6 linked regions of the Canis lupus familiaris genome follow. The protein of the gene in region 5 purifies or fractionates together with the protein of the main gene of each other region. This does not show direct contact. Links are inferred from orthologs where the notes say so. Each region holds a gene or a part of one and is shown on either strand. Other genes may lie near its edges. The genes, in order: HDAC4, CUL2, SEPTIN9, LAMP2, HIF1A and FASN.

What was found.
Region 1: the proteins of HIF1A (region 5) and HDAC4 purify together in Homo sapiens (affinity purification with western blotting; 4 studies listed by BioGRID and IntAct, with this or other methods). This does not show direct contact. The link is inferred for Canis lupus familiaris from reciprocal best matches to the Homo sapiens genes HIF1A and HDAC4.
Region 2: the proteins of HIF1A (region 5) and CUL2 purify together in Homo sapiens (affinity purification with western blotting; 7 studies listed by BioGRID and IntAct, with this or other methods). This does not show direct contact. The link is inferred for Canis lupus familiaris from reciprocal best matches to the Homo sapiens genes HIF1A and CUL2.
Region 3: the proteins of HIF1A (region 5) and SEPTIN9 purify together in Homo sapiens (affinity purification with western blotting; 4 studies listed by BioGRID and IntAct, with this or other methods). This does not show direct contact. The link is inferred for Canis lupus familiaris from reciprocal best matches to the Homo sapiens genes HIF1A and SEPTIN9.
Region 4: the proteins of HIF1A (region 5) and LAMP2 purify together in Homo sapiens (affinity purification with western blotting; 3 studies listed by BioGRID). This does not show direct contact. The link is inferred for Canis lupus familiaris from reciprocal best matches to the Homo sapiens genes HIF1A and LAMP2.
Region 6: the proteins of HIF1A (region 5) and FASN purify together in Homo sapiens (affinity purification with western blotting; 3 studies listed by BioGRID and IntAct, with this or other methods). This does not show direct contact. The link is inferred for Canis lupus familiaris from reciprocal best matches to the Homo sapiens genes HIF1A and FASN.

What each region holds. Positions count from the first base shown.
Region 1 is NC_049246.1:49,601,747-49,606,364, forward strand, and holds part of HDAC4 (histone deacetylase 4), read right to left. Parts: intron 1,547-4,618; coding exon 1,462-1,546; intron 993-1,461; coding exon 851-992; intron 113-850; coding exon 73-112; 3' UTR 1-72. UniProt on the Homo sapiens protein: Responsible for the deacetylation of lysine residues on the N-terminal part of the core histones (H2A, H2B, H3 and H4).
Region 2 is NC_049223.1:2,210,287-2,214,904, reverse strand, and holds part of CUL2 (cullin-2), read right to left. Parts: intron 3,590-4,618; coding exon 3,488-3,589; intron 2,135-3,487; coding exon 2,018-2,134; intron 803-2,017; coding exon 671-802; 3' UTR 1-670.
Region 3 is NC_049230.1:4,399,168-4,403,606, forward strand, and holds the end of SEPTIN9 (septin-9), read right to left. Parts: intron 3,438-4,439; coding exon 3,302-3,437; 3' UTR 1,259-3,301; downstream 1-1,258.
Region 4 is NC_049260.1:93,174,267-93,179,631, reverse strand, and holds the start of LAMP2 (lysosome-associated membrane glycoprotein 2), read left to right. Parts: upstream 1-1,876; 5' UTR 1,877-2,038; coding exon 2,039-2,102; intron 2,103-5,365. UniProt on the Homo sapiens protein: Lysosomal membrane glycoprotein which plays an important role in lysosome biogenesis, lysosomal pH regulation and autophagy.
Region 5 is NC_049229.1:36,930,769-36,935,386, reverse strand, and holds part of HIF1A (hypoxia-inducible factor 1-alpha), read right to left. Parts: intron 4,416-4,618; coding exon 4,195-4,415; intron 3,523-4,194; coding exon 3,236-3,522; intron 1,971-3,235; coding exon 1,848-1,970; intron 1,721-1,847; coding exon 1,296-1,720; intron 1-1,295.
Region 6 is NC_049230.1:1,062,920-1,067,537, reverse strand, and holds part of FASN (fatty acid synthase), read right to left. Parts: intron 4,158-4,618; coding exon 4,063-4,157; intron 3,941-4,062; coding exon 3,806-3,940; intron 3,722-3,805; coding exon 3,518-3,721; intron 3,403-3,517; coding exon 3,287-3,402; intron 3,017-3,286; coding exon 2,841-3,016; intron 2,744-2,840; coding exon 2,552-2,743; intron 2,469-2,551; coding exon 2,388-2,468; intron 2,272-2,387; coding exon 2,074-2,271; intron 1,854-2,073; coding exon 1,674-1,853; intron 1,597-1,673; coding exon 1,393-1,596; intron 822-1,392; coding exon 517-821; intron 317-516; coding exon 1-316. UniProt on the Homo sapiens protein: Fatty acid synthetase is a multifunctional enzyme that catalyzes the de novo biosynthesis of long-chain saturated fatty acids starting from acetyl-CoA and malonyl-CoA in the presence of NADPH.

The sequences.
Region 1 (4,618 bases), on a different chromosome or scaffold from region 5:
AAACGGGAGCCGCTCTTGGCGGAGCTTCAAGACGGGGACAAACAAACAAGAGACCCGCAGCTCGGCGGGCGGCTACAGGGGCGGCTCCTCTTCCATGGGCTCCTCGTCGGGTCTGCGGCGGCGCCGGGCGAGAGACAGAGGGCCGCGGCGTGAGGCCAGGGCCACCCGGAGGGCCGCCCGCCCCTGCACCCCCCGCCCCTGCCCCAGAGCGAAGGCTCTTCGAGGGTTCCCACGGGCCTTTCACCCTGGAAAGAGGAGGCCCTGCAGCCCGCGTCCACCGTGGGGCCCGGCACCTGCCTGCCAACCCGCCATCCCTCCCCGCCCTCCTCCACCCCTGTATCTCTCCCCCTCCATCCCTGCAGCCCTGCCCCATCCCTCCCCCTGCATCCCTCTCCACTCCATCCCTGCATCCTTCCCCCTCTATCCTTCCATCCCTTCCCCCTGCATCCCTCTCCCCTCATTCCCCCGTGCATCCTTCCCCCTCTCCATCCCTCTCCCCTGCATCCCTCCATCTTTCCCCCATCCCTACATCCCTCCCCCCTCCATCCCTGCATCCCTTCCCCCTGCATCCCTCCATCTTTCCCCCTCCATCCCCATAGACCTTCCCCCTCCATCCCTCCATCCCTCCCCCCGCATCCCTCCATCCTTCCCCCTCCATCCTTGCATCCCTCTCCCGTCCATCCCCCCATCCCTCCCCCCACACCCGACCATCCCTCCCTGGGATGCCCAAGCAGGAGGCAGGGCCCAGTAGAGAAGGCACATGCCCACAGGACAGCAGAGGCCTGGGTGCCTGCAGAGGGTGGTCCCGCAGGCAGAAGGGCCCGCCGGGGGTGGGGGCGGAGGCGCTCACCTCTTCTCGGCGGGCTTCACGCCCACGGACAGCGAGGCCATGGCGGTGACAGTCTCGGCTTCCTCGTTCTCGCACTTCTGGGCCTCTACCAGAGAGTGCCCCACCGTGGAGCAGAGGCGCGGCAGGGAGCGCCAGTACTGGCCTGCGTGGGGGGGGCGGGAGGGGGCTGGGTTACTGGGCCTCCCCCGGCTCAAGCCTGACTCCTCACTGGCACCTTTAAAAGCACCTGTTGCAGGAGAGGAAGCCAGGCAGCACCCAGGCTACGGGCTCGCAAAGGCGGGGCTCCTGGAGTCGAGTCCTCCCCGAGGCAGGGGCACCGGCTGGGGGGATGGGGGGGCCGTGAGAGCGGGGCTGCCCCCGACTCCAGAGAGCGGAGCACAGGACGGCCCGGCGCGAGGGGGAGGAGACGAGGGGGCCGCAGCGCCAGGGGAGCGTGTGGGGGCCGGCCGCTCGGTGTTTGCTCGCACACACGGGGGCTCGTCAGCAGGGGCGGCTGGTGGGGACCTGCATCTGGGGAGCACCGGGAGACCCGCCTACACCGCGACCTCAGTGACCTGGGTCATCCCTCACCCCTGGGGCTCCCCGCCGAGCACGTGGCCCACACAACTCACTGTGGATCTCAATGACTTTCTCCATGGACCGGACAGCGTTAGCGTTGGGTCTCTGCTGTAAAACCTTTTCTGGGAGAGGATCAAGCTAGAAAAAAATATACAAATACACAGTAAACGTGACGGATGTCGACATAATCCCTGCACGTGTTCTGTTCAGGGAGGTTTGAAGTCAGCGTCGGTTTCTTGAGTGTATTTACGGGCAGAAAAGCAGCAGCAGCCAAATGTGGCTTTGCTATTTACTGTACGACTTTTTTTATTTTTTATTATCATTATTTTTTAAAGATTTTATTTATTTATTCGCGAGACACACATACACACACACACACAGAGAGAGAGAGAGAGAGAGAGAGGCAGAGACACAGGCAGAAGGAGAAGCAGGCCCCATGCAGGGAGCCCGATGTGGGACTCGATCCCGGGACCCCGGGGTCATGCCCTCGGCTGAAGGTAGGCGCTAAGCCGCTGAGCCACCTGGGCATCCCCTGTACAATTTTTTTAAAAACGGAAGTGGATTTATTTTCTTTGAGGTATTCTTCTCGGGAGACCGTCAAGTGTGCTCGTGAGCTCCCGGCTGAGCGGACACCGCATCCAGGAGCGGGCTGGCGGGCAAGGACGTCTGCTTGGAACCCACTGAGACCCCGTCTACACCACCCCGTAACACTAGGGAAACAATGACTGCTTTCTGGAAATACCACTTTCACATCCCTAGTCTTACACGTAAGAATGCTTGGCCATCCTGTCGATGGTGTTCTTCCAAAAATGGGGGAAAAGGTAAAAGAAAGAAGAAAGTGAGGGGAATCTCTGAGGGGGGCCTGTGCTCCCAGTTTTCCGGTCGGTGTGGACGGCAGAGGACGGGACGGAAGCCGCAGGGGACACCGGGCGTCCTCCACACGACACCTAAGCACGCTCACGGGGATACATCATGAAAACACAAAAGTAATTTTAAAGATCTTTAAATTACTAGACAAGCCTACAAAACTGGGGGAGATCTGCTGGGTTCCGGAAGGAAGCTGGAAGCTGCCCAGGGCGGTCACGCATCCCGGGACAGGCCTGCACGACAACGGCCACGGCCCCCCACGCGCCCCGAGCTGCCCGCAGGGACAACCGGTGGGGGGGTCTGTTCTGACCCTGGGCTCTGCGGGCAGGGACGGGCCAGGGTCTCCCTGGGAATGGGCAGGTTCCACCGTCAGCAGAGGGCCGCGATGTGCGGAGCAGCCGTGCACCCTCTCGGGAGGCGCCTGGCCCCCTGCGGGCCGCCCGCCAGTGTGGCCAGTTGGGTTCCAAGGGCTGAGTCCCCGGCCGCACACATCATGAAACACGGGAGTCAGCCGGCGCGGGCGGGGCTCAGGAGAGACAAGGGGGGTCTCGGGCAGAGGACCCAGGCTCTGGGGCAAGCGCGGCTTCCCAGGCGGGGGACGGCCACGCGGAGGGGCGGAGACTCGGGCTGGAGGGGCCAGCGGCCGTGCGGGGGGGAGTCAGTGCCCGAACACGTACCGGGAGGAGACACGCGTTCCTTGAGAAGCATCTGAGATGCCTCGGGTACCCAGCCCCTCCCCGACAGCTGTCGCCTAGCCCCTTCCGACCTCCACCCTGTCTCCTCGGGCAGGAGCCGAGCCGCGGCCCCGGCCTCCCTGCAACGGGCCGCATGGAAGGGGGGAGAAGCCGGCTCGACGGGGAAGGCGGCCGACGCTGCTCTACGCAAGCGCTCGCGGTTCACGTCCCCAGAGAGAAGCTGCGCGCCCGGCACGGGCCCGGACAGAGGAGGGCACTGCGCCCGGGTCCCCCGCCCCGCTTCCAGCACAAGGGAAAACAGGACGAGCACGAGGGCTCTTCTGCAGCATAGCCGCGAGCCGTGCCTGATTGCTGACAACTGTCAATACTCCAAAAATGACAACCCAGGGCAGCCTGAGAGGGCGCGGGCACGAACGGTTGGACGCACAGTGGGGTCCTGGGCGGGGCCCCGACACGGCAAGGGCGGCCGTGGGAGGGCGGGTGGACCTGGGGACGTTCTCACGCGGGCGACCCAGGCTGGGACCCAGGCCCACGCGGTCACGCGGCACCGAGGCAAAGCATCCGAGCCAGCGCTGCCCGGAGTTAGAAGTCTAGTAAAAAAACGGCAGGTTTAGATCCTCAAAGACCACGGTCACTGAAATGATCAGTTTTAAACTACAAGGTAAATGATTAGTGAGTATCAGTGAGTATCAGAAGTAAGATACGGACGCAGGATTACTGAACCGAAGCGGACGATTTAAAGCCGGCCCAGGAGAACGTCTGTGAATGAAATCACAGCCGCGGCAGCAATGACCCTGAATGCGCCGGGGACGAGGGGAGCGAGCGGGTTGGGTCCGTCTGCTCGGTGTCCCGGGGCAGGGGGAGAGGGGACGGGACCCGGGCAGGAAGAGTCATGCCTGAAGCACCTGCCTGCCTGGGTCCGTCAGGGCGCAGCCGCAGAGCAGGGGACGGGGGGGGGGGGGGGGGGGGGGACACGGCCAAGGACAGGACAGGACAGGGCGTGGCCGTCAAAGCCCCAGAGACAAGGGCTGTCAGCCCAGGACGGTGAGCCGGTCAGTCAACACCGAGGGCGGGGCGGCCGGGGGCTCGTCGGACCCTTGATCTCAGCTCAGGTCGAGATCTCAGGGTCGAGAGTTCACCCCCACGCTGGGCTCGGGGCTGGGCGTGGAGTCTTCTTTTAAAGAAAAAAAAAAAAGAATGAGGATAAAATTGCGACGTGGGGAAGCTGACACCGCGTCCCTCCCGGGAAACATGTGGGGTGTGCAGAAGGCACAGTGATCCCAGGCGGTGGTCTGAGCGGCGGGAAGCGAGAAGCAGGAGAGGCCACGCGAACAGGGACCACGTGAAACAACAGGAATGGTGTCGAATCGGTGCATTTAAACGGAGAAACAAGGAAAGAGGGCGGAGGGGCTGGTCAGGGGCTGCACACCCCCGGGAGGGCCGGAGAGAATGGACACACAGGACTCGGGCCAGCACCGGTCAGTGGGGGCAAGCGGGTGGCTTCTCCGTGTCCCACGTCCGACGGGCGTGCAGGGTTTGGTCTGCACCTCCCCCCCGGGTCTGGGTGGCCACGGGGCACTGGCCACATCACGGGTGCATGTGAACACCTGCAAGGATCGCCGCCGGGGAGCAGCAACGAGCCGCGTGT
Region 2 (4,618 bases), on a different chromosome or scaffold from region 5:
ATAAAAATAAAACATTTTTATGTTGAATGCATTTTTATGCATTCAAGAACAATAATCTAGACATTTTTCATGTAGGACTTAAGTAGGAGTAAAAGTGAATTAAACCATTTGGATAAAAATGCAACTAAAGCTGCATTAGCTGCTTTGATGACTCATGAACATTTATATATATACTATTATGTGTGATACTCCATCCACATAAAAAAGGCATTCTATTTCTTTATTTTTTTTATTTGACAAGCAGCAATATCATGTTTGTCATTTTAATGTAGATACAATTATTAGGTTATCTGTCATATTACAATATTTAAGTTTTTTATTTTATGTCCTTTAAGATACATTAAAAAAAAAAAAAAAAAAAAACAACACACCAACTGCAAACGTGAAGGGGAGAAAAAGCATGGTACCCAACCAAATTTCCACATTTCAGCAATACTTCACTCATTCTTTTAATAAAGTTTTAAGAAATGTCATAATGACATGAGCTTGAAATATCTCTAGGCATTTTCTCGGACGCTCATGACGTGGCACTGGTGATGTTGTAAACAGCAGAAAAACAGGGGCTGCCAAATGACCAAATTATGGAGGCACAGGCCTGCTTTTTCCCACAGGAACACACCAAATGGTGATGGCAATGATCTTCTTACACCCACACTAGAGGAGAACGACATCACGCTACATAACTGTATTCATCTGCTGACGCTTGGCTGCGTTCGATGTACTGTTTGTCTATCAGAACTTCAATACACTTCTTAATCATGCTGATACTAGGATTAAACCTAGCTCTTGACTGGCTAATCACCTGTGTAAGAGAGACACAGATGTCAAACTACTGCCAAGTAGTCAGTTATAAATAATTATTTTTAACCAATAGCTGTGAAGTGCCCCAAATGTATAGAGGTTCCATCAAACAGACCTAATCCACATGGGAAAAATATACTTAGTTATGAAATCATGTTCATTAAAATGAATAAAATCATCCTACATGGACGTATGTGATACATCAAGCAAGTGAACACCATGAACAGTATTAAAATTTTAAGCTCACATGACAGTGCCCAAGGAGAGGAAACAATTAGATCAATGTTGATGACAAAAAAAATTTAATGCAAAATAAGGAAAAAGCCTAATGTTTCTGTTGTGAAGGAATTACAAAGCAGAACACAGATATAGCAAAATCCAATAATATTCATACATAAATTAAACTATAAATTAATCAATCTATCTAAATACACAGACACACACTCCATTTTCTGTTTAACCTTCACACTCCAGTGCCTAGTTGAACTAACACTTTCTCAAAGCTTTCTCCAGGGACGCCTGGGTGGCTCAGCGGTTGAGCGTCTGCCTTCGGCTCAAGGCACGATCCCAAGTTCCAGGATTGAGTCCCACATTGGGCTCCCTGCGAGGAGCCTATTTCTCCCTCTGCCTTCTCTCTGTCTCTCATGAATAAATAAAATCTTAAAAAAACAAAAAACAAAAAAACACACCTTTCGCCAACATCCCCTAAGTCAGTACTTTTTTTTTTTCTAAGTCAGTATTTTTGTGCACATTCTCATACTACTGTAGCTCTTTTTCAGTGCATTGTTAATGTAATTTTATATTTTGCTTCCATACTATTTCAATAATGTGTTTCTTTTCTATTAGATGGTGAATTCCAAAAGGGCAGGATCCACATCATGGGTTGCTCTGCATCACATCCCTAATGACTATCAAGGCACTCCATCACATGTAGACACTCAGATATTTATGGAATGAATATTTGAAGTAGTGAATTTCTTTCAATAACTGGACAGAAGGCTCAAAATCCTGGTGAACCTTAGACCTCTAAATCTAAGCCAAAGCAAACCTGAATACAGAAATTCTAAGTACTGTTCTCATTAAGTAATAAAGCATTTCTTTATGCTATTTGGGAATCCTATTATGTATGTACCACTCTGACAAAGAAACATTCCTAATCTATTCATTGATAATATCCATTATCCCCAAAAGCCCTCAGGGCTTCCCCTCCTTTTACCTCTTGAATAAGGGCATTATGCCGAAGTACTTTCCGTGCTTTCATGATACGAACTATAGCAGCCTGGAGATACATTTTTCGGTCCTCATCTACAGCACTTCTAGTCTGCTCCATTTCCTGTTTCACAGGGGGGAAAAAAAAAGCAAACGACACAGTAAGTCATTGAACCTTTCATAATTCATTTTGTCACTGAGTTTACATAAATTTCCACTTGATACCGAGCTTCAAGTTATACAGCTATCAAATGCCCATTATCATTATCACATAATCATTACTAAAGGAATATCTACAGTGAGTTATTTATAATTTCTTGGGTTAAAGTTGGAAGGTTATTTAAAAAAAAATTAACAGTATAATAGAATGTATTTAATGTAAATAGGCAATAAAGTAGAACACAGCAGTAATTTTCAAGACTTTTGCTTGAGATACTCTCCCTCTGCCCCCCTCAAATAAATAAAATATTTTAAAAAATAAAAGATAAAATACAATCTACATATTACAAATTATTATTCATTAGTCTAGAGAAAAATGGGATCTCAAACATTTTAGGGTTCAATTTTTTTAGGGTTCAAATTTAACAATTAACTAACATCTGTCTCCCCAAGGGGATGTAAGTTCCTATAGAGGGCCTGACATCTTATATAATTTTATATCCTGCCCCATGCCCAAGGATAGGGCAAAGACAATCAAGAAACTTTAAGTGACCTTAATAGGCTATCCCAGAGCAAAGCATTAATCATTACTGGGTTAAAAGAATCAACAGCAGATGTTCACCTTGCAAAATGGCTCATCTGGTAGTCTGAACTCCACTCCTGACCTATTAGATTACAATTTGAGTATCAACAAGACCCCAAGTGGTTCATTTGCACATGAAATTTTGAGAAATACTTCCAACAACTTCTCTGAAAGAATGTTATAAAGCTTTCCCTTATTTTACAAATAAAAAATATGAGATTATATTACTACTTAAGGTAGGAATTTTGGGGGCACTGGGTAACTCAAATGGTGAAGCATCTGCCTTCGGCTCAGGTTATAATCTCAGGGTCCTGGGACTGAGCCCCGCATAGGGTTCCCTGCTCCGGGGAGAGTCTGCCTCTCCCCCTGCTTGTGCTCTCTCTGTCTCTTTCTCAAGTTAATAAATAACATCTTTAAAAATAAATAGGAATTTCTGTGAAGAATGCAAAGCAATGCTCTGCATTTTAATATAGTCTAAAAGTATGACTATACTGCAATACCTTTTCCCTTAGATATCTATTATATTATACATTACTCTTAGATATCTATTATTTTTATAATCTAAAATACTGGCAGAGGTTTGGTTTGCAAGGTTTAGTAAGCTCAAAGAATAAATCATAAAAAAGGCATCACATTATTAATTTTGATGTGCAAAGTTTTCCATTATCTCAGTTACCGCTTGTGAAGTCCAATGTTTAAATATTTCCCAAAGAAATGACATTAAAAATCACTCACCTGTGGTGTGTCTTTCTGCATCGATGTAGTAATTTTAAATTTTGTTCTTTTACTGCTAAAGTTCATATTTAATGAAAATGAAGATTCTGTATCAATGTCTTCCTATAATTGAAAATAATGCATGTATATTTATAAAAATTAAAACAATTAAATAAGAGTTGCTGCAAATAAAATATCATAAAATTAAATGACCAAGCAAGACTAAACGCTCATCATTTTACATTATAAAGATTATTTAAGAGAAAAACAACTGTCTTCTGTAAAATAAAGAAAGAAGCAAATATCAATTCTTTTCTAATTTTATACTTGAATTTTAATCTGTTTAGATTTAGAAATAAGCTATGGCCCAACTAATATATATAACCATCGGATAAAGAGTCAAATTGTCTTAAACAGAATTTAACACTTTAATTCTTTTTTTTTAACACTTTAATTCTTATGAACTACTAGGCTCATAATTTATGTCACCCTATTTTGAAAAAGTGAGCAACCAAATGTCTTTTAAAGTGCTGCAATAAGAAAATACGTATACGTATTATAAATAACCCGACAACAGAAACAAGTAGTGTCCAGTGGCATACACGGCTTTAGTATGGTTCTTATGAAGTTTACCCTCGAATTCATGTTTTACTGTCTGCCAGAAGCACGTGGCCTCTTTTCAAGTGAAAGTTGTTAAGTCAATTTTTATAATCACAACTATCAAGCTTATGAAAGCCACTCTGATCACACATGGTGTTTTCTCCATTAGCAAGATCAAAAAGCACTTAGCAAATGAATTCATTCTCAATAATAAGCTAAGAAGTTCTGCTAAGGAACAGCAGATTCATAGTTAAAATTTATGTGCAAACAAGCAATCATCTATATTTTGTACATTCCCGGGCAGCAAAAATAATACATTTTAGAAAATACATAATGTCTTAAGTACTTAATTTAGCTTATAAACTTAAACTTTTTAGGTTATAAGCTTAAAAATTCATGCTTAATGATTGACTCAATTAAAATCTTAATATTAAGAATTTAATATTTTGTTAAGATTCTGAAATCAAAAATTAATTTCTCAGTATTAAGAAAAGCTTGATTTGAATTTCAAAATATATGCCATTTAAAACTATTTAATTATAGGCTACAAAA
Region 3 (4,439 bases), on a different chromosome or scaffold from region 5:
GGGCGGAGAGCCGGCCTGGTCCAGTGGGGCTGGCGAGTGAGGGACCAGCAGCACAGGGCCAGGCAGCCGGCGAGGCACGGGAAGTGAGCCCCCGGGAGGAAGGGGCCAGATTCCTGAGCTGAGGTCAAGGCCTGGAGAGGGTCCGGCCCAGAGAGAGCAGCTGCCGGACAGGGATGTCCAGCAGGGGTGAAAATGGGGACCGTTTTAGTCTGGAGGCGGAACAGGGCTTCGGGGTCAAGGAACTGCCCCCCTCCCAGGTGGACCCTGTCCTCCTGTGCTCCCGGCAGATGTCAGCTGTGGGTGACACACCCCAGAAGCCTGGAAGCCGAGGCTCTACGTGGCCACTGTCCATCTCCATTGATTCATTCGGGCAGGAAACCCAGTTACCTCCTGCAAAAGGAGTCAACCTGCCCCACAGAGAGGGCAGGGGGTGGGCGGGGGGAGCCGAGGGGCTGCGGTAATCCTGACGCCACCCAGCCTGTCGGCGGCAGAGCAAACCTTGAACCCACATCATCTGAGTCCCAGTGCGGGGACTTCTGCTTTCCACCTCGGCCACCCCTGCCGCCACCTCGTCCCTGAGGCCCAGAGATGGAGGGGGAAGGGGACACCTGGGCTGGAACAGCACCCACCTTCCCCCGAATTCATGTCCTTGCAGAACCTCAGAACGTGGCCTTATTTGCAAACAGCGTCTTTCCAGATACAAGGTAAGGACGGGATGAAGCCACCCTGGATTAAGGTGGGCCCCAAACCCAATGGGAGTGCCAGGCAAGAAATCGGGCAAGAAATCGGTTTCTTGTCTGCAAGGACAAAAGCACAGAGCAGGAGGCCAGAGCCAGGCATAGCCTGCCGACACCCCAATCTTGGGCTCTCGGCCTCCAGAACAGTCACAGAATAGGGCACCTGGTCGGCTCAGGGCGTGATCCCGGGGTCCTGGGGTCAAGTCCAGCACCGGGCTCCCCGCAGGGAACCTGCTTCTCCCTCTGCCTCTCTTAAATAAATAAAATTTTAAAAAAGAAAAAAAAAAGCACTGGGAGAGTATTTTTGTCGTTTTAGGCAGCCCCAGAGATCCCCTGGACACCCAGAGGCACCCTGGGGGTCGCGGTGGTTTCAAGCCAAAGGGCTTGGGTCCAGAACGCTCGAGCTCACGCCCCCTGCCCACGGCACCCTCCGGAACCTGTCTCCTCCCCGTTCTCTAGGCACAAACTCGCCAGTGTGGAAATACTGTCAAATACTGACCAGTTCATAGGGTCCAATCTGATAGGGCGGATTTTAAGAAGAAAAACTTTATTTCCAACAATATAGGAACAGAAGCAGCTGGCAGCGCCTCCCCGTGGGAAACCCTCCCAAGCCTCCTTCAGTGAATAAATTAGGAAAGCTCTGCCCTTGGCTTTCCAGAGAAACGAGTGCTTCTGGATTCCCCGAAACCGGCGTCCCCGCCACCATTAAACAGCCCCCCACACCCAGCAAGCACCCCGGTGCCGGCTTCCTCTGCAAGGAAGGCCGCGCCTCCGGGGCCAGGAAGAGGAACACATCCCCCCTTCCAGGTTTGCTTTCGGACATTTATTTCAGGAAATACATTTTCAACTTTGTTATTTATACAAAAAGACGAATTTCTCAGGAGGCACATAGCAAAAGGCCACTGCGGAACAGATCCCAGTGAAAGTCACAATTTTTTCAAGGTCTGGCTACAGAGAAGGAAAGCGAGTCCACCCGGCCGGGGAGGCCGCCCCTCGCCCCCCGCCCCGCCGCTGGAGGTGGAGGTGTCCTTCGCAATCTTGGTTTTGGCAAAAACACGGCAAGTCGGCAAGTCAACGGTTTCACTGAGGGGTCCTTCCTGTCTTGGGTGGGGAGAGAACACGTGATGCACGCATATCGTAGGTGTGCGTACACACACACCTCTGCACAGGCCTCTCTGCACCCCCTTCCTCCACTGCTGTTCTCACGGGTTGCAGTGAGCCGGCCCGGGGGGTGCAGACAGACGTGCACCTCACCTGGGTCTCATCTCACCTGCCCTCTGCTGTGCGAGGGTCCCTGCTGGTCTCTCGGGGGAGACAGAGGGTGAAGGAGCAGGACCAGGAGCGACTGGCACAGCCCTGCTTGGAAAATCCCGTCTGCAGCCTGACGATGGGCCAAGTGCACCTGACTCCTGACCTTTCCTTCTCTGCGGGGTGGGGGTGTCTTTACGATGGGCTCTGGGGCACAGGAGCCCAGGCACATTTAGGGCCATGAAAAGCTCCTGGGGTCATGGTGTCAGCAAGGCCTGGCCCGGGAGGGCTGCATGTGTACCTGGGGTGGCCGCCTGGGCATAATTTAACCAGAGCATCTTGGGCCAAAGAGGTGTCTAAACAGACAGACGGACACACACACTCTCTCCCAGTTCCCAGTTCTGTGGGGCGATGCAGGGCAGACACCGGGGCCACTAGGGCCGCTCTGACAGGCCCAGGCTCGGCCCACAGCCCCCTCCTTCCGGCAGTCACCTCCTCCTCATCTCCTCCACCAGATTCACTTGCTTGGACCTTCCCCAGAATCATGGGGGTGGGCTGGAGTGGGGTGCATCCTTTTCCTTCCCTTGAAGGCTCAATCAAATCCTGGGGGGAGGGGGGACGACGGAGAGATGGAGGCACACCTCTCTCTGTCTGACTTGTCCCCAGTTCCAGCGGAGGGGACGGCGGGGGAAAGGACGCTGGCTCGTGGACGGCTGAGATAAAGGCACTTTCTGCTCCAGGACGGGCTCGTGGGGGCTCGTGGGGGCTCGTGGGGGGGTGGGGGGCGGGCAGCAGGCAGCCAGTGGGCCTTGCTGGGTCTAAGCAATCGGCAACTTGCATCTCATGGAATCAACTCTTCTCCCGATGGGTGGGGCAAGGGCGGGGGCTCTCTGAGTTCCGGGTCTGAGTTAGGGCCCTTAGGGCCTGGGGCCGTGCAGGGAGGGGGCGGGAGGGGGCTCCGGGTCTCCCCCCACACCACCCTGTCCTGATCGGAGGCTGTGGCGACCGGGAGCTGCGCCTGGGGATGGGGACTGACGCGGAATGGGGGGGCCCCTCCTGCCCCCCCCAGACCTCGGGGACAGCCAGAGGGGCGCGGCCTCTCCGAAGCCCAGGCCGGTCCAGGCCCCGGAGTCAGCGGCTAATAACACGCATACTCAGGAGGGCACACGGCGTGTCGTTACTCGGCAGCGTGTCAGGGGGCGGAGGACGATGACGAACGGAGGAAATGATATAAAATAAGACGGGGCACGTGGGCAGGCCTGGGGGTGGTGCTGGAGAGGACTGGGGGGCAGGGTCCCGGGGGCAGGGCGGGTGGGTTACATCTCCTGGGCTTCGGGCCCCTTCTCGTCGACGCCGTTGGACACGGCGCTGCTGCCTTCGTGCAGGCGCTTCACCCGGTAGGCCTCGAAGTGGATGGTGCTGGTAATGTCCTTAATGTTTTGCATGTGTGTCCTGGAAGGAGGGCCACGATACAGGGAGGTCACAAGATGGGGCCGACCCCAGTCCCCACCCCCTGGCTTTCAGGGGGCCCCCCCAGGAGGGGCCAGTAGGTGGGCCAGGGCCCAGGCCTGGCGGGGTTGTGGGTGCCGTCTCCGAGGCACAAGAACACAAACGTCCCACTGCTTGTGCCCCCGTCCCCCCGTGTCAAGTCTAAGGGCAGGGGCTGGGTGCGAACTCAGAGGGGACAACACTGGAATGTCCTTGCTGCCACCTAGAAGCCCCAGGCCATTGGCCAGGTGGGGGGGGCGGGGCAAGGACCAGTGGTCCTGGGGCCAGGGCCTGAGCTGGAGTGCTGGTCGACCCCACTGGTCCTATGCTCGGGTTTTCCCTCCCCTGCAGCCCAGGCCCTCAGGACAGACTGGAAAGTGGCGGGGCGGGGGGGGGGGGGACGGTGTCTTCTGCTGCCAGGCTTTCCAGCATGGTGGGGTCACCCCCCGAAGCCACAGCCCATCCCCCCAACTTAGAGGCCCCAAGAGATAGCCTTGTCCCTCCCCTTGACTTCATTCCTAGATTCCTAGAATGCATCCACCTGCTGAGAAGCGGGGAGCCCCTGGTGCCACAGCGGGAGCCCCCCACCCCCACCCCCACCCCCGCTCTATAGGCTTAGGGGTGGCCGCCCAGGGGACACCAAGGAGCCTCAGCTAGGTCAAAGCAGTGCGGTCAGAGGACACTGGGATGGGAGTGGGGGACGCCGCCCCCATGCCTGGCACCAAAGGCCCCTGAGGCCCTGAATCTAATGGACCCAGGCTGCAGAGAGGAGAACCTGGCCCCCTTCCCACCCAGGTGACATCATCTAGAGGAAGAATTTCTACTTTCTGCTTCATTTCCATGGCAGTGTTTTAGGCCAACGGACTTCGGAGGTCCTCCTGGGGGGGGGGGGGTCAGGCCAGCTGCTGTCCAGGCCTGCTCCCCCACTGCCTACACTCCTCATTCAGGGGCCTCTCGGGGCCTTCA
Region 4 (5,365 bases), on a different chromosome or scaffold from region 5:
TGGTCTCAGGATCGAGTCCCACATCGGGCTCCCTGCCTGGAGCCTGCTTCTCTCTCTGCCTATGTCTCTGTCTTTGTCTCTGTCTTTCTCTCTCTCTCCTCTCTCTCTCTCTCTGTGTGTCTTTCATAAATAAATAAAATCTTAAAAAAATATATTAAAACTCCCTAGATGATTCTTTCGGACACTAACATTTGAGAATTAGTGCTTTATCCCAACTTGAGATTTTTATAGTTTTTGAATGCTTTCATTTGTTGACTGAGGTTTCATCTGTTCACCTGTCAAGCATACCAAATAGTATGTCTAGTATGAGTTCATTAAAGCATATTCACATGTGGATATGCACAGGAAAAACAAGTGGAAGGATAGATTTTCTTTCTGTGTTTAAAGAAGATTCTGGGCAGTGGCGACGGCGGCGGTGAGAGGATGAACAACAAGTTCGACGCATTGAAAGATGATGACAGTGGGGACCATGATCAGAATGAAGAAAACAGCACACAGAAAGATGGTGAGAAGGAAAAAACGGAACGAGACAAAAGTCAGGGCAGCAGTAAGAGGAAGGCTGTTGTCCCTGGGCCAGCAGAGCATCCCCTGCAGTACAACTATACTTTCTGGTACTCCAGAAGAACCCCTGGCCGTCCCACCAGCTCACAGAGCTATGAACAGAATATCAAACAGATCGGCTCCTTTGCCTCTGTGGAACAGTTCTGGAGGTTTTATAGCCACATGGTACGTCCTGGGGACCTGACAGGCCACAGTGACTTCCATCTCTTCAAAGAAGGAATTAAGCCCATGTGGGAGGATGATGCAAATAAAAATGGTGGCAAGTGGATTATTCGACTGCGGAAGGGCTTGGCATCCCGTTGCTGGGAGAATCTCATCCTGGCCATGTTGGGGGAACAGTTCATGGTTGGGGAGGAGATCTGTGGGGCTGTGGGTCTCTGTCCGGTTTCAGGAGGACATTATTTCAATATGGAATAAGACTGCCAGTGACCAAGCAACCACAGCCCGCATCCGGGATACCCTTCGGCGAGTGCTTAACCTACCTCCCAACACCATTATGGAGTACAAAACCCACACCGACAGCATCAAAATGCCAGGCAGGCTGGGCCCCCAAAGGCTCCTTTTTCAAAACCTCTGGAAGCCGCGGTTGAATGTGCCATGACCCTCTCCCTCTCTGGATGGCACCATCATTGAAGCTGGCATCATCGGAGTCTCTTGTTCTGTTGGCGTGCTACCTGGAAGATCCTTCTGTCCTGGACAAGAGGAATTGGAAGAGCATTTTATGTTTTAAGAACAGGCTGATATACAGCAGCTACAACAACAGCTGAGATCACTTAATAAATGGTGCTAAACTAAAAAAAAAAAAAATAAAGAAGATTCTTCCTCTTTCTGAGTTGAATTTCTCCATCTGAAAAATAGGGTATTGCAATTAGGCGAACCTCAAGGCCGTCCTGCTCTGGCTGTCCGCGACACCAGGCTACCCACCCGCTCCCTTGTCCATTTAATCACATGAACTGCAGGGGCATATGAAACACGTCTTATGGAACAGGCGTTCGTAGAATAATTCCGTGTTATTAGTGTTCATATTACGTTATGATGCTTAGCAATCTTTTTAATCCAGCAGAATTATTCTCTTCTTCCTCAATGAGTTGGAACTGAAATAAACTCTACTACCTACACCCCGCGAAAAGTTAATCCTCTCTCTTATTAAGCCTTAGAAAGAGCCGTCCGCACCTATCTCTTGGGCGCAGAAGAAGGACTGTGAACCAAAAAGCCAGGGCGTGGTCGCCCCGCCCACCGACTCCTGCATCACCTCCCCTCGCGCCGCTTTCCAGCGAGGCGATTGGCTAAGCGCAAGAAAGGGCCCCGCCCCAAGTCTTATGACCCGCACCGAGGCGGCGCGTCCTGGCGTTTGCAGTGCCGCGCTCGGTGGTCCGCGGTCCTCCCGCCCGGTGTCGGCGAGCCCCTTCCCGGGTGTTGCTGTGCCGTTGCCACCGCCCCCTCCCGCCCCGCCGCCGCCCCCCCGCTTGGCGGAATCATGGTGTGCTTCCGCCTGTCCCCGGCTCCGGGCTCGGGGCTCGTTCTGCTCTGCCTTGTCCTGGGTGAGTTGTCGGGCCCTCCTGCTCCGTCCGTCAGCCTGGGCCCGGGGAGCCCAGTGCCAAGGCCACAGGCCGCAAGCCTGGTCCGGGGGAAGGGAGCGTGGGGCAGGCCGCGCGGCTGACCCTGGGCGGCGGCGCTTGGCCCGGGGAGGCGAGCCGTGACCTACGGAAGGCCTGACCGAGAGATGGCGGGGAAGAAGGGCCCGTGAGAGGGGGACGGGGCAAGCCAGCCGGGTGGGCGCCCAGGGAGTAGGGGGGGAAGAGTGGGGAGTGGAGCAGCCCTGGGGAGGAAGAGTAACTTGGGGAAGAGACTAAAAAGAGTGAGTCTAGGAGGGACGTACGGGCGATTCTGGGGTGGCAGAGACCATTGGGAGACTCCTGGTTTCTTAGGATCTGGGTAGAGTTTTGAAGATGGTGGAAAATTATGGGGTGGGAGCGAAAATTGGGGAGAGAAGGGAACCGCCTTCGCCTGCGCGCAGAGCCTTGGGGGAATGGTGGGGAGTTAGGGGCGCTTATGACCGTAGAGTCTGGGGGACAGTGAGAGGGCCGGGGGGCGTTGTGTGGGTGGAAATTTGAGGCCGTGGAGGAAGGGTGATGAGAGAGATGAGGACCGCTGCCGGATTTGAGTTTGGTGGTTGGGAGTTTTGAGGGGTAGGGACCTAAGGTGACCCCGGGGCAATTAACAGGCGAGAAAACTCGGACCTAACCTCTGGAGACTAAAGGGATGAGGGGGAACTTTGGCGGGGAGTGATCTGACTTGGAGGTGCTGAAGATGTCGCTTTTCTACCAGTTTTGCTACTTCCTCCCAGCCAGATACTGATTAAGAACAAGCAGGCAAACCAACTTAAAGCCTTAAAAAACAAAAAAACAAAAAAACCAAAAACCAGAAACCTCCGGGTATTTCAGCTGGGAGGGCCTCCCAGATGTGCGGTTTTGGGGGTGGAGTATTGAGTCGTGTATACTGCCTCTGCCTTCCGAAGCTCGTTTTCTTCTCAGTGACACAACTGGCCTTTTACTTCATTTTTGGAGGAGGAGGATAGGTGACTTGCCAAAGACTGGGTTGTTACCAAGTCATAAGAAAGGCTGGATGAATGTTGGCTGATTGTATTATCCCCCCCTCCCCCAAAGATCACTGGGTCCCTGAGGGCTGTAATGCCTGAAAGGTGAACTTTGACCAGAGTGTCTCTTCCTGACCTGATTCATCCTGTGCTTGTTGCTATCCACCAGCTTGCTGTTTGTGACCAAATAAAAGAAAGGGGGAACAAACCCAGGTGGTGGGGGTGGTGGTGGAGGGAGGGGAGGGAGTAGGCTTATTAAGGGTCCGAAAGGGCAGTGAGAGGTACACAGTCTGTAATTCTCATTTCAGTAGAATAAAATCAGCACCCTAAAATAGTGGATTCTCAAACTGGGAACATTTGGCACTATCTGGAGACATTTTTGGTTGTCGCAACAGGAGATTGCTTTTGGCATCTAGCGGGTAGAGGCTGGGGATGCTGCTAAACATCCTACGGGGCATAGCATAGTGCCCCCATCCCCCAACAAAGAATTTTACACCTCAAAATGTCAGAAGTGCTAGAGTTGAGCAATCTTGCCCCAGAGTGAGAGTGCTGGAAGGGTGGGTTCTTGATGATCTAATCTAGTGCTTCTCAAGGATCTTTTTGAGGAGGTACCTGTCAGATAAAAACTTATTTCTAAAATAATACTAAGAAGTTATTTGTTTCTTTCACTCACACTCTCACCAGTGTACAGTGGAGTTTTCCAGAGGCTACACAATGTGTGATGACATCACCACCACTCTCATGGCTCTGATGTTGTATTTTAGTCACTTCTTATTTTTTATTTCGAATATGGCAAATACCGACAGATATAACGCACGTAAACCAATGTGAATAAGAGAGTAAAGGGTCCTGACACCAGACGTTTCAGACTCCCCAATCTAGTGCAGCTGTGCACATAGGGCAGGAGACACCCCTGTAGCCCTTCTGAAAGGAAGCCTTGGAGACTTTGCTCAAACACAGTTCGAAGCTGTTGTTAACACTGCTGCCAGGCACTTACTGAGGGGCCAGCGACCCTAAGAGAGGATTGTTTACAACGAAAAGCACCTTATCAGTGGCTAGAACTCATCTGACCAACGCATCTGTTAATCAGTAGTTCACTGCCAATTGAATCTGCACAAACAACCCGGTTATTGTTCAGAGAAAGTGAAAAAAAAAATAATAATTGTCCTACTTGTTGGCTTTCGTGTCATTAGATTTTTTTTGTTGTTTCTTTTTTTATGAAAGCTTTTTTGTTTTGTTTTTACAAAAGCTATGCTTGCTCATTGCAGAAAATAAACAAGCAAGAAGAAGCACATGAAAGAACCCGTCAGCTCATCTGCTAGTTTGCCATTTATTGATCTGGACTAACTAGATTCGTCTTCTTGGAAGAGTTCCAAGATCGATTTCCTCCACTTCCAGGTTTAGAACAGGGTTTGGGGGGAGTAAAAGTTCATAATGTACCTAGATTAGATTTTTAGAAGGTATCAGTGAACTAGAAATCCTCTCTTCTCCTGGGCTGCTTTTCCTGACAGTTGTTGGTTCAGTGCGGAACTCAGGTTCCTTCCATGTGGTTTTCTCTCTTAAGAATCGAGCTGGTCTTCAGTTGCCTGGTGGGGTTGGCACGTCACTTTTCATATATCAAAATACCAAGAATGGGTTTTTAAAAACTCAATAAATATTTGTAAAGTACCTGTTGTGAATCTTGTGCTGCTGTTCTGGGTACCAGTGAAGAGGGATCTGCCCTGGATTTATAGTCTCATTAGCTTGAGTGCTCAAGCTGTGCCAGTTTCACTTTGTAACTTTATAACTATCCTAGCTCCACGGAAACTTTTTAAAAATAGCTACTTTAGGGCAAGTATAGGAAAGAGTTCTTAGGAGTTATGTATTGGTCCTTTTCACAGAGATTAAGTCATGCTCCTCATTTGAATGAATTATAACTGACTAGAGAACTTTCTGAAGAAAAGCGATACGATTTTTCCAAAGCTCTACAGATGCATTATAAAGAGAGTAGTGGATAAAAACCATTTCCTAGCATCATCGTCTAAGTGTTTTTTCTTTGTGACATCATAGATTTCAGAATTCTGTGGCTATTGATTTTTACAACTAGTTTGACTTCTGGTTTTTATAGGGTTGATGTTTTTTTTTAAGATTTATTTATTTATTCATGAGAGACACACAGAGGCAGAGACACAGGCAGAGGGAGAGGCAGGCTCCCAGCGGGGAACCTGA
Region 5 (4,618 bases):
ATTGTCACTGCCTTAAAAGAGCTGAGTCTACAGTCAGTTGGTGACATACTAATTTGTAAAGTAAATGCAAACACTTCTTTGTTAATCTAAAGCCCCAAGATCTTTTCTTAGTTCTGGAAAACGGTTCCTCCTAGCATTCTAGGTCAAAATAGTGATGAAGGGCAGAAGAAAAAGGCCATAAATTCTTGTTATGGCAGTGCTTTCCTCCTTAAACTGCCCCACCAACTAGCTAAAACTTGTTTCCTCTGATTACAGCCTCAAATTTAAAATGTCAAATCTCACTATAAAAATTACATATAGAGCTGAGTGAAATAAGTTAATTGGAGAAGGACAAACATTATATGGTCTCATTCATTTGGGGAATATAAAAAATAGTGAAAGGGAATAAAGGGGAAAGGAGAAAAAAATGAGTGGGAAATATCAGGGAGGGAGACAGAACATGAGAGACTCCTAACTCTGGGAAACGAACTGGGGGTGGTTGAAGGGGAGGTGGGCAGGGGGTGGGGGTGATTGAGTGAAGGGCACTGAGGGGGGCACTTGATGGGATGAGCACTGGGTGTTATTCTATATGTTGGCAAATTGAACATCAATAAAAAATAAACTTATAAAAAAATACAACTTAAAAAATTATATATAGAAATTGTAACTTAAAATTTGGGTGGTATAAAGGTATTTGCTCAAACTAACTCCATAAAAGCAACATCATAAATCATGCTTAGATTCTTGTTGTAGCTTTTAAACATTTATTTAACCTATAATATAGCTAATGTTCTATAAATATGTAATGAAAAATAAAAGCAATTATACATAAATTTTAAAAGAAGGCTTGTAAATAAATACCTGTATTAAATACTGAGGATTGAAGACTATCAGGCTCAATTTGAAATGGGGAATTGGAAATACCCTTAAGTTGGAAGGTCTTTTATTCAAGTAAGCTTTAAAATAACTCAAAGAGACAGAAACAGTGAAGATGGTTAACTAGTCTGATTTACTTAGCTACAAGTAATTGGGCCAATTTTTGTACATTTAAGAACTTATTGGCCGCATTATTTTTTTAAAGGTACTGGAAGACCCTCCTACCTCCTACATTTAGATAGGTGATGTGGTTATTTTCAAGAAAATAAATACACAAGTTAATTTAGAAACATTTTTTTGAGTGCTTGTTTTATCAGAATTTGTATGTCAATTTAATATTCTTAAAGCATATTTACCAGAAAGTTAGTTATGTTTAGACATAATTAACCCTACATACATTTTAATAAAAGAGCTGTAACGTTAGTGTTATATATAAATACCTTTGACTCAAAGTGACAGATAACACGTTAGGGCTTCTTGGATGAGATTTTTCCGTCTGTTCTATTACTCCTTTTCCTGCTCTGTTTGGTGAGGCTGTCCGACTTCCAGTATCACTGTATGGTGATGTTGTGGCACTAGTAGTTACTTTAGGTACATGGGTAGGAGATGGAGCTGCAATCAATATTTTAATGTCTTCTATGCCATCTTTTGTCACTGTTTTTAATTCATCAGTGGTAGCAGTGGTACTGGTAGTAGTAAGAGGAGGTTCTTGCATTGGAGTCGGCTGGAATACTGTAATTGTGCTCGCACTTTGAGGACTTGTAGAATTGCTTTCCAGTGGTGACAACTGATCGAAGGAACGTAACTGGAAGTCATCATCCATTGGGATATAAGGAGCTAACATCTCCAAGTCTAAATCAGTGTCCTTTAAAGCAACAAGTACATGAGTTTTACAATGGCCACATCGTATAAAAGAAAAGTTAACCCCAAAATCACTTCAAGCTAAAAATTAATAAAGTTTAATAGAAAATATAATAAACAAGTTCATATACCTGGGTGGAAAATGGATTCTTTGCTTCTGTGTCTTCAGCAAAAAGTTTCTCTACCAATTCAAGCTTAAATTCATTGACCATATCACTATCCACATCAAAACAATATTCACTGGGACTGTTGGGCTGTAAAAGGAATTCAATGTGTTTACTTTTCCCTGAGGAAACCTACATATATTTTGTTAGTTGTTAGAATTCTCAAGCCAGACCTCAGAGAATACACAACAAAGTCCATTTCTTCTATCACATTTTATCTAACTAGTGACAAGTTAAACTTCAGAGCTTGCATTTATAACTATACATTTCTATGTAACAACATCATTTATGAAATTAGGACTAAAAGATACATTCATCTGCTTCTTCTGAAGAATAAAACTCATCTACTAATTCAACTCCCACATGGTACCTAATTGGCCAATAACTAGATATGATATACTCACTGGAATCTACCTTTATCCTGAGAGGCCAAACTTCCATGATGATGTACCTAAAAATCTCACATGTTTCGGGGGTGGGGTAGGGGTGAGGACGTAAGTTCTTTTACTTACATTCACCTTAATGAATATAGTACTATTTTAGGGGTTCCAAGCAAGGATTCTAACCAGTCACTTGTAACTACATAGTCTAAGAATAAGCTTTTGCTTTCTTCATTTTAACATTTGTTAGATTTACTTTTGTTAGATAAAAAAACAAAATAAATCAATAGATTTTTATGCTGGGTAAGCTGAGCAACTACAGCACAGACTGTATTTTCCGGAAGGCTGTGAGATAGATGTCAAATCTCCTACTCTTAGCTCACCAGTTTGAACTGATAAATATTACATGTAAAATTATTCACCACTTATTAAGACTTACTTGTGCCTCATGGTCATAATATTCAAGTCTGAGTTGCCTTACTACTCCTGAGCATATTTTTTGACATAGTAAGCTCTGAAATGGAATCGTTCTAGATTTAGAAATAAAGCCCTATGTGACATCTTTAGTCTTGGCCTCAGCCTAACCCTTAAAAACTATTTTCATTGTGTTTATAGAAAAACTATTATCAAGACAGAACTTGAGTAAAAAATAGTTATTAGGTATTTACTCTGTTTAAGACTTGGTATTTTCATATTATACTTATCTAGGATTTCAAAACAGTGATGAAAATTGGGCTAAATTAGGCAAATAGCTTAGGGTCCCTTCGCTTTTAAAAAGCTTAGTTAAAATAAGCCTTTTGCTACTTGACAGTTCTCCAACTCATAGGGTAATATACCTTTGAGGGTAGCAATTACAGGCACACACATTGTTCTCTGTGGATGTCTAAATTCAAGACTTTTTTTGTATTCATTTTATAAATACATTCCTAAAATTAAAATATGAAAGTTATCCTCTTCTTAGATCATGACACCTACCTCAGGTGAACTTTGTCTAGTGCTTCCATCAGAAGGACTAGCTGGCTGATCTTGAATCTGGGGCATAGTAAAAGAAAGTTCCAGTGACTCTGGATTTGGCTCTAATTTTAACGCAACTTCTTGATTGAGTGCCGGGTCAGCACTACTTCGAAGTGGCTTTGGAGTTTCAGAAGCAGGTAATGGAGACATTGCCAAATTTATATTCTGTAATTTTTCGTTGGATGAGGGGAGCATTACATCATTATACAACGGAACTTCCTCAAGTTGTTGGTCATCAGTTTCTGTGTCTATAGGGGAAAAATTATTAATCAATTTAAAGAATGGCTAGATTTTAACATATAGGGAATTATATGCCCCCTTTTACAAAAGGTCTAATTCACTCAAACAAGAGTGTTACCAAATTTTCCTTAATCAGAAAGTTTTCAGATATTATGGTATAATCATTAAGTCTGAATTGTCTTTCCAATCTACTGTTGACAGGTCCTATTATATTTATGGCATAAAAATCCCCTGCAATTCCAACCTTTTCATACCTTCTACTCATTAAAATTTAACCAACTTTGAAATTACAATTTTCATTTTCAGTGTCTGATATTATGTTATGACTGATTATCCTTTAATGAACTACACCTACTGCAATATAATTTTTACACTGTGGAGAAAATATGGCAACAGGATATAGAAATAAGAGTAGCTGAGAAACATTCAAGTAGGAAAAAGAAAGACCTAAGAACCCTTTGAAGCACAACTTACAACAATGACACAGAAGCAGGAATGCTTAAAAATTGCAGGGGCAAACATATTTAAGCAAATACTTTGAAAAAGACATTGAAAAACAAAATATGTAAGACTGCAATATTCACATGATTACCAACAATAACATGTCCAAGTTTAGTTAAAATGGGCTTGCAGCAACAGATAGAGTTTTTAGGCAATCGAAACAATAACTAAAGACCCACCATTGCTGCCGAAATCTAAAGATATGATTGTGTCTCCAGCAGCTGGGGCCAGCAAAGTTAAAGCATCAGGTTCCTTTTTAAGCTTATCAAAGAGACTACTTGTATCTTCTGATTCAACTTTGGTGAATAGCTGAGTCATTTTCATATCTGAAGATTCAACTGGTTTGAGGACACATTCTGTTTGTTGAAGGGAGAAAATCAAGTCGTGCTGAATAATACCACTGTCAAAAAAGAGAGATTAGTAGTTCTTAAATGAGCATTGACACAATAGGGTGGGGGTGACTGAAATAACCTGTCTCTTAAAATTCTGCTTTATGAAAAGGAACATTTTAAGATGCTTTATACTAATCTCTCATGCATACCTGGTTACATTCAGGGTATAAAATAGCAATATGAAATAAAGACCTCTAAAAATTCAAGAACT
Region 6 (4,618 bases), on a different chromosome or scaffold from region 5:
CCCTGAGCAGGGCGTGCAGCAGCAAGAAGCCGCCCTCCCTGACAGCGGCCACCATGTGGCTGAGGGCCGAGGCTGGGTCGGGGAGGGTGGCCACCGCACAGTTGCACACCAACAGGTCGGCCGTGCCCAGGTTGCTGGGGGCGGGCTGGGTGGGGTCCCACTGGCCCTGGGCCATCCCGAGCTCCTGCAGTTTGGTCTGGGCGGCCTCCAGGGCCTGAGGGTGGCGGTCGGTGGCTGTGTAGTCCAGCTGCAGCAAGGGCTGGGTGCTGAGCAGCGTGGGGATGCGGGTGTACAGGCGACCATCACCAGCCAGCACCTGGAGGGAGGACAGCCTCCTGGATCAGCCGCCCACTGCACAGGCCTCCTGATCCCAGCTGGGAACACCGGCCAGAAAGGCCCACCCACTGGCCAGCGCCCTCCCTGCCCGAGGTCAGGGCAGCCCGGGAAGGGACGTGAGGGCAGCCTGGGCACAGCTTCTAACCCCGTGACCTCACGCCAGGCGGTCCGCACACCCACCTCCACTATGTGCATCCTGAGACTGGTCATATTCTCCAGGGCGGTGTCCGTGCACGCCTTCAACGCCGAGGAGTCCAGAAGGCCGCAGAGCAGGGGATCATCGTGCAGCAGGGACCTCTGCTGGGCCAGGAGCTGGGCCAGCTCCAGCTGCAGGTTGCCATTGAGCTGCAGCTGGCAGGCAGCGGCCAGCAACTGAGGCAGGCCTCCCTGTGGGAACTCGCGGGGGACCTGGGCCCCATCCAGCCCGGGTACCACCATCTTCAGGCCCTGCTGGGCCACCTTGGTCTGCAGTGCTTGTGCCAGCCCTGGGGGGGTGAGGGGGCAGAAAGGGGCGCTAGGGAGGGTCTCAGCTGGGCCAGCACTCCCCCCAGCACGTCTGCCTGGAGCAGGGATCCATCCAGAACCAGGACCCATGTGACTGTCCTCCCAGGGCCCACATCCTGGCCCTGTCCCCGCATAAGCAAATGCATGGGAGAGACGGGGTGGGCAGCCTGGTCCCCTAAGACTAAGAACTACCCTTCCAGGGTGTCAGGGGCACAGAGGAGGGCTAACTACGTAGTGTGGGCTCAGTGCTGGACATCCCCCGTGGCACCCCAGTCTGTTCTATCCACCCATCTGCATGGGGACGGGACGAGCCCTTGCAGGGGATAGTCTGCAGGGCCAGGCCCCTGTGGCACCACACGCAGATGGCTGGCTGGGGACGTAGCGAGGAAGGACCAAATCCAACATTGTGCCTAGAGCCCCTGCCCAAGATGGGGAGCCTCTCGCAGAAGCAGCAGGACGCTGCAAAGCGCGGGGGGTGTGGTGAGAAGCTGAGAAACACCCCCATTGCCAGAGGCGTCAGGGGCCAGAGCGCAGGTGGGGAGCTGGCCTCACCCCTACACAGCTGCAGCTCCTCCTGCAGGGCTGCGTTTCCAGCCAGGACGCCTCCCTCCATGTAGGGGGTGAAGGAGAACTTCTCTAGGATGGGTGCATGCTGCTCCTGCTGCCGTCTTGGGGCCACAGAAGCGTGCAGGCCCAAGATGAGGGCACCGCCGGCTACCGTGCTGTTCAGGCAGCTGCTCACCTTCACGTCGACCACTGAGGAAAGAGGTGGGTGAGCATGGGCAGCACCTGGCGCAGCGACACAGGCCTGCGGGGACTGGGCGTGGGCCTACCTCGGGCATCGCCCTTCAGCGAGTACACTTTCTGCTGGTGAAGGGCGGGGTCGATGTGGATGGAGGTGATGCGGGTGGGCAGGCACAGGGTGCGCTGTGGATTGCCCAGCATGGACGTCTGCAGCATGGCGTCCAGGAAGACCACCCAGTTGTCCTTCCACAGCAGCTGGCCGGCTTTGCCTGTGGCAGAGGGGCTGTCAGCTTGGCTGGTCTGGGTCTCTCTTGCTCACGGCACCCTCTCCTCCATGCCCTGGCCTGGGTGCCCCCAGCGGCCCCTCACAGCTTGGGTGACGCCGGAGTCACATGGCACCTGGATTCTGGGCAGCAGGTCAGGCCCTGCCTGAGGGGAGGCGGCCCCGAGGCTCGTTCCCAGAGCATCAACGGACATTTGGTGCCCTACCTTCAAGGTTGGTCTCCAGGATGCCCTGAAAGTGGGGGCCGTAGTCATAGCCACGCAGCCGCAGCTCCTTGTACACGTCCCCCTGGGTGAGGCGGAACGCGGCCATGGGGTCCGTGGGGTCCGTGGGGTCCACGGGGTCTGCGCCACCATGGAGGTCGAACAGCTTGGGGTCAGGGTCCTCCCACTGGTACACCTTTCCTATGGGTCGGGGGCAGAAGGGTCTGAGGGTGGGCAGAGAGGAGCTGGCGGCTGAGGTCCACTCAGAGGCCAGCCCCTACCAGACCCTGCAGCCCAGCCAGACGCCCTCTGCTCACCGCTCACTATCAGGTTGCCATTCTCAGACACCTCGAAGCTCTGGGAAGCCTCTAGAAGCCGCACTTCTAGGGCCATGGTCCCTGTGGACAGCAAGGTAGTAGATGAGCATCAGGGCTCAGCAGTCGGCTCCCCACCCTGACCCCAGTGGCCCACCCCATCTCACCGGTCTTGGGCAAGATGGTGGCCTGGTGCAGCGTCACGTCCTCAAACACCACGGGCATCTCCTCCATGTTTTGGTTCAAGGCACGTGCCAGCATCTTCCAGGCCAGGCACAGGTAGCCGGTGGCAGGGAAGAGGACACGGCCATCGATGCAGTGGTCCACCAGGTAGTGGTCAGGGGACTCGGGGCTGGTGTCTGTGTGGGCTGGACCTTAGTGCCGGCGGCCAGGAGGGAGAAGCCAAGCCCACCGGCACCCTCGCCCGATCCCTCTACTGCCCTTGGCCCCACTCACCAATCTTGCAGATGGTGGCAGCGGACGAGCCGGTGGAGCCGTTGGGGAAGTCCTCGGCGGCAGGCACGTCCCAGATCTGACTGTGGTCCCACTTGATGTGGGGGGAGATGAGAGGGGTCCCCCGGGGAACCGGGAAGTCCATGGGTGGGAACAGGCCGTTGGGGTTGGCGTCCATGCTGGGGGGTGGCAGGGAGGTGTGAGGCACACACCGGGCCCCGGTGGCCTCGCCTGGGACCATCCTGTCATTCCCACAGCCCACCACCTCCCATGGGACCCCGCAGATCGCCATTGGGGTGGGGGCCGTAGCACGGGGCTCGGGCGGCCCAGCACCCCCAGCCCACTTCCTGGGGATGACCCCACAGCCACGGAGCGGCCCCGATAACAGGCTTCACCGTCGGGAGAAGCCGGGCGTAGGCCCCCGCCCCCGGCAGCGGCAGCTGACCCACCCCAGCAGATGCAGCTTGCCCGTGTTCCTGAGGAAGAACTCCAGGTTGTCCTTCTGCTCCTTCTTCATCAGGGGGATGATGGCGCAGCTGGGCTTGAGGCCTCTCTTCAGGACGGCCTGCGGGGGCAGACGGCTTGGCCTTCCTCACAGGTTCCCACCCTCCCGAGGCCCATTCCCTCAGCCCCCCGGCCCCCGCCGCCCCTTCCCGCCCCCGGGCCCCGCGGGGACGCACCTGCAGCAGGGCGTGAGGTGCGATCTCCACCACCACGGCGTGCTCAGGCACGTGGCACAGCGCCTCCTGGAACAGCACGGGGCTCACCAGGTTGTTGACACTGTACTCCGCCGAGCACATGCGGGCCAGGCTGCCCTGCCACTGGGCCTCGGGGATGGATGTGCTGAGCCAGCGTGCGGAGCGGGGCTTTGGCTCCCGGATCACCTGCACACACGGCATGGTCAGCTGTGTGGGCACTCAACCCCCACCCGCGCCTCCAGGAAGTCCCCCGTGGGGCGGCCAGCCCACCTTCTTGAGGGCCTTCAGCAGCGTGGGGGCGATGGACTCCATGAAGTAGGAGTGGAAGGCCATGCCGCCCGTGCGCACCTCCTTGGCAAACACGCCCTCCTGCCTCAGCTCCTCCAGAAACGCGGCCACCTCAGCCTAGGGACAGGGGTGCCAGGAGTGGACGAGTGGAGCCGGACCATCTGCCTGGGTCCCCACACAAAGCTCTCCGTGAGGGTCGGGAAGGGACTCGGGGACAAGCCTGGCCTCCTGGGGCCTACCTGAGGTCCCGAGATGGTCACTGTGTCTTCGGAGTTGTGGCAGGCGGGCACAACGCCAGGGGGACAGCGCCGTTTACACTCCTCCCAGGTTAGGCCTGTGGGCAGGGATGGCCTCAGGGGGCGGGCAGCGGGGAGCCAGGGCCCCACCAAGAGGAAGGCGCTGCCCAGGGCAGGCCTTAATGACAGGGGTGCGGTAATGACAGCCGCCGAGCGGGGCCTTTATGGGGCACTTTCACTCCTGCCGTGTTTGATCTCGGGGGAAGGTGTCTCCCCTGTCGTCCCACAGGCGGGGAGCCGGGTCCTGCTGCAGTGAGGACAGCCCACCCCAACCAGTCCCTGGGGTGGTGGCTCTGGGAGGTGTCCCTCCTGTCCCCGGCCTAGCCTACTGCTTCTCCTGCAGCCCCTGGGGGGCAGGTGCCAATGGAAGGGGGCCAGGGCCAGTGCACCCGACACCCTACATCTTCTAGTGCGGGGAGGGGTGCTGTTCATGCCCCACATGGCTTTAGCCCAGTTGGTAGGAAGAGCAGCAGTGTGGACTGATGCTGACCGCTGAGTG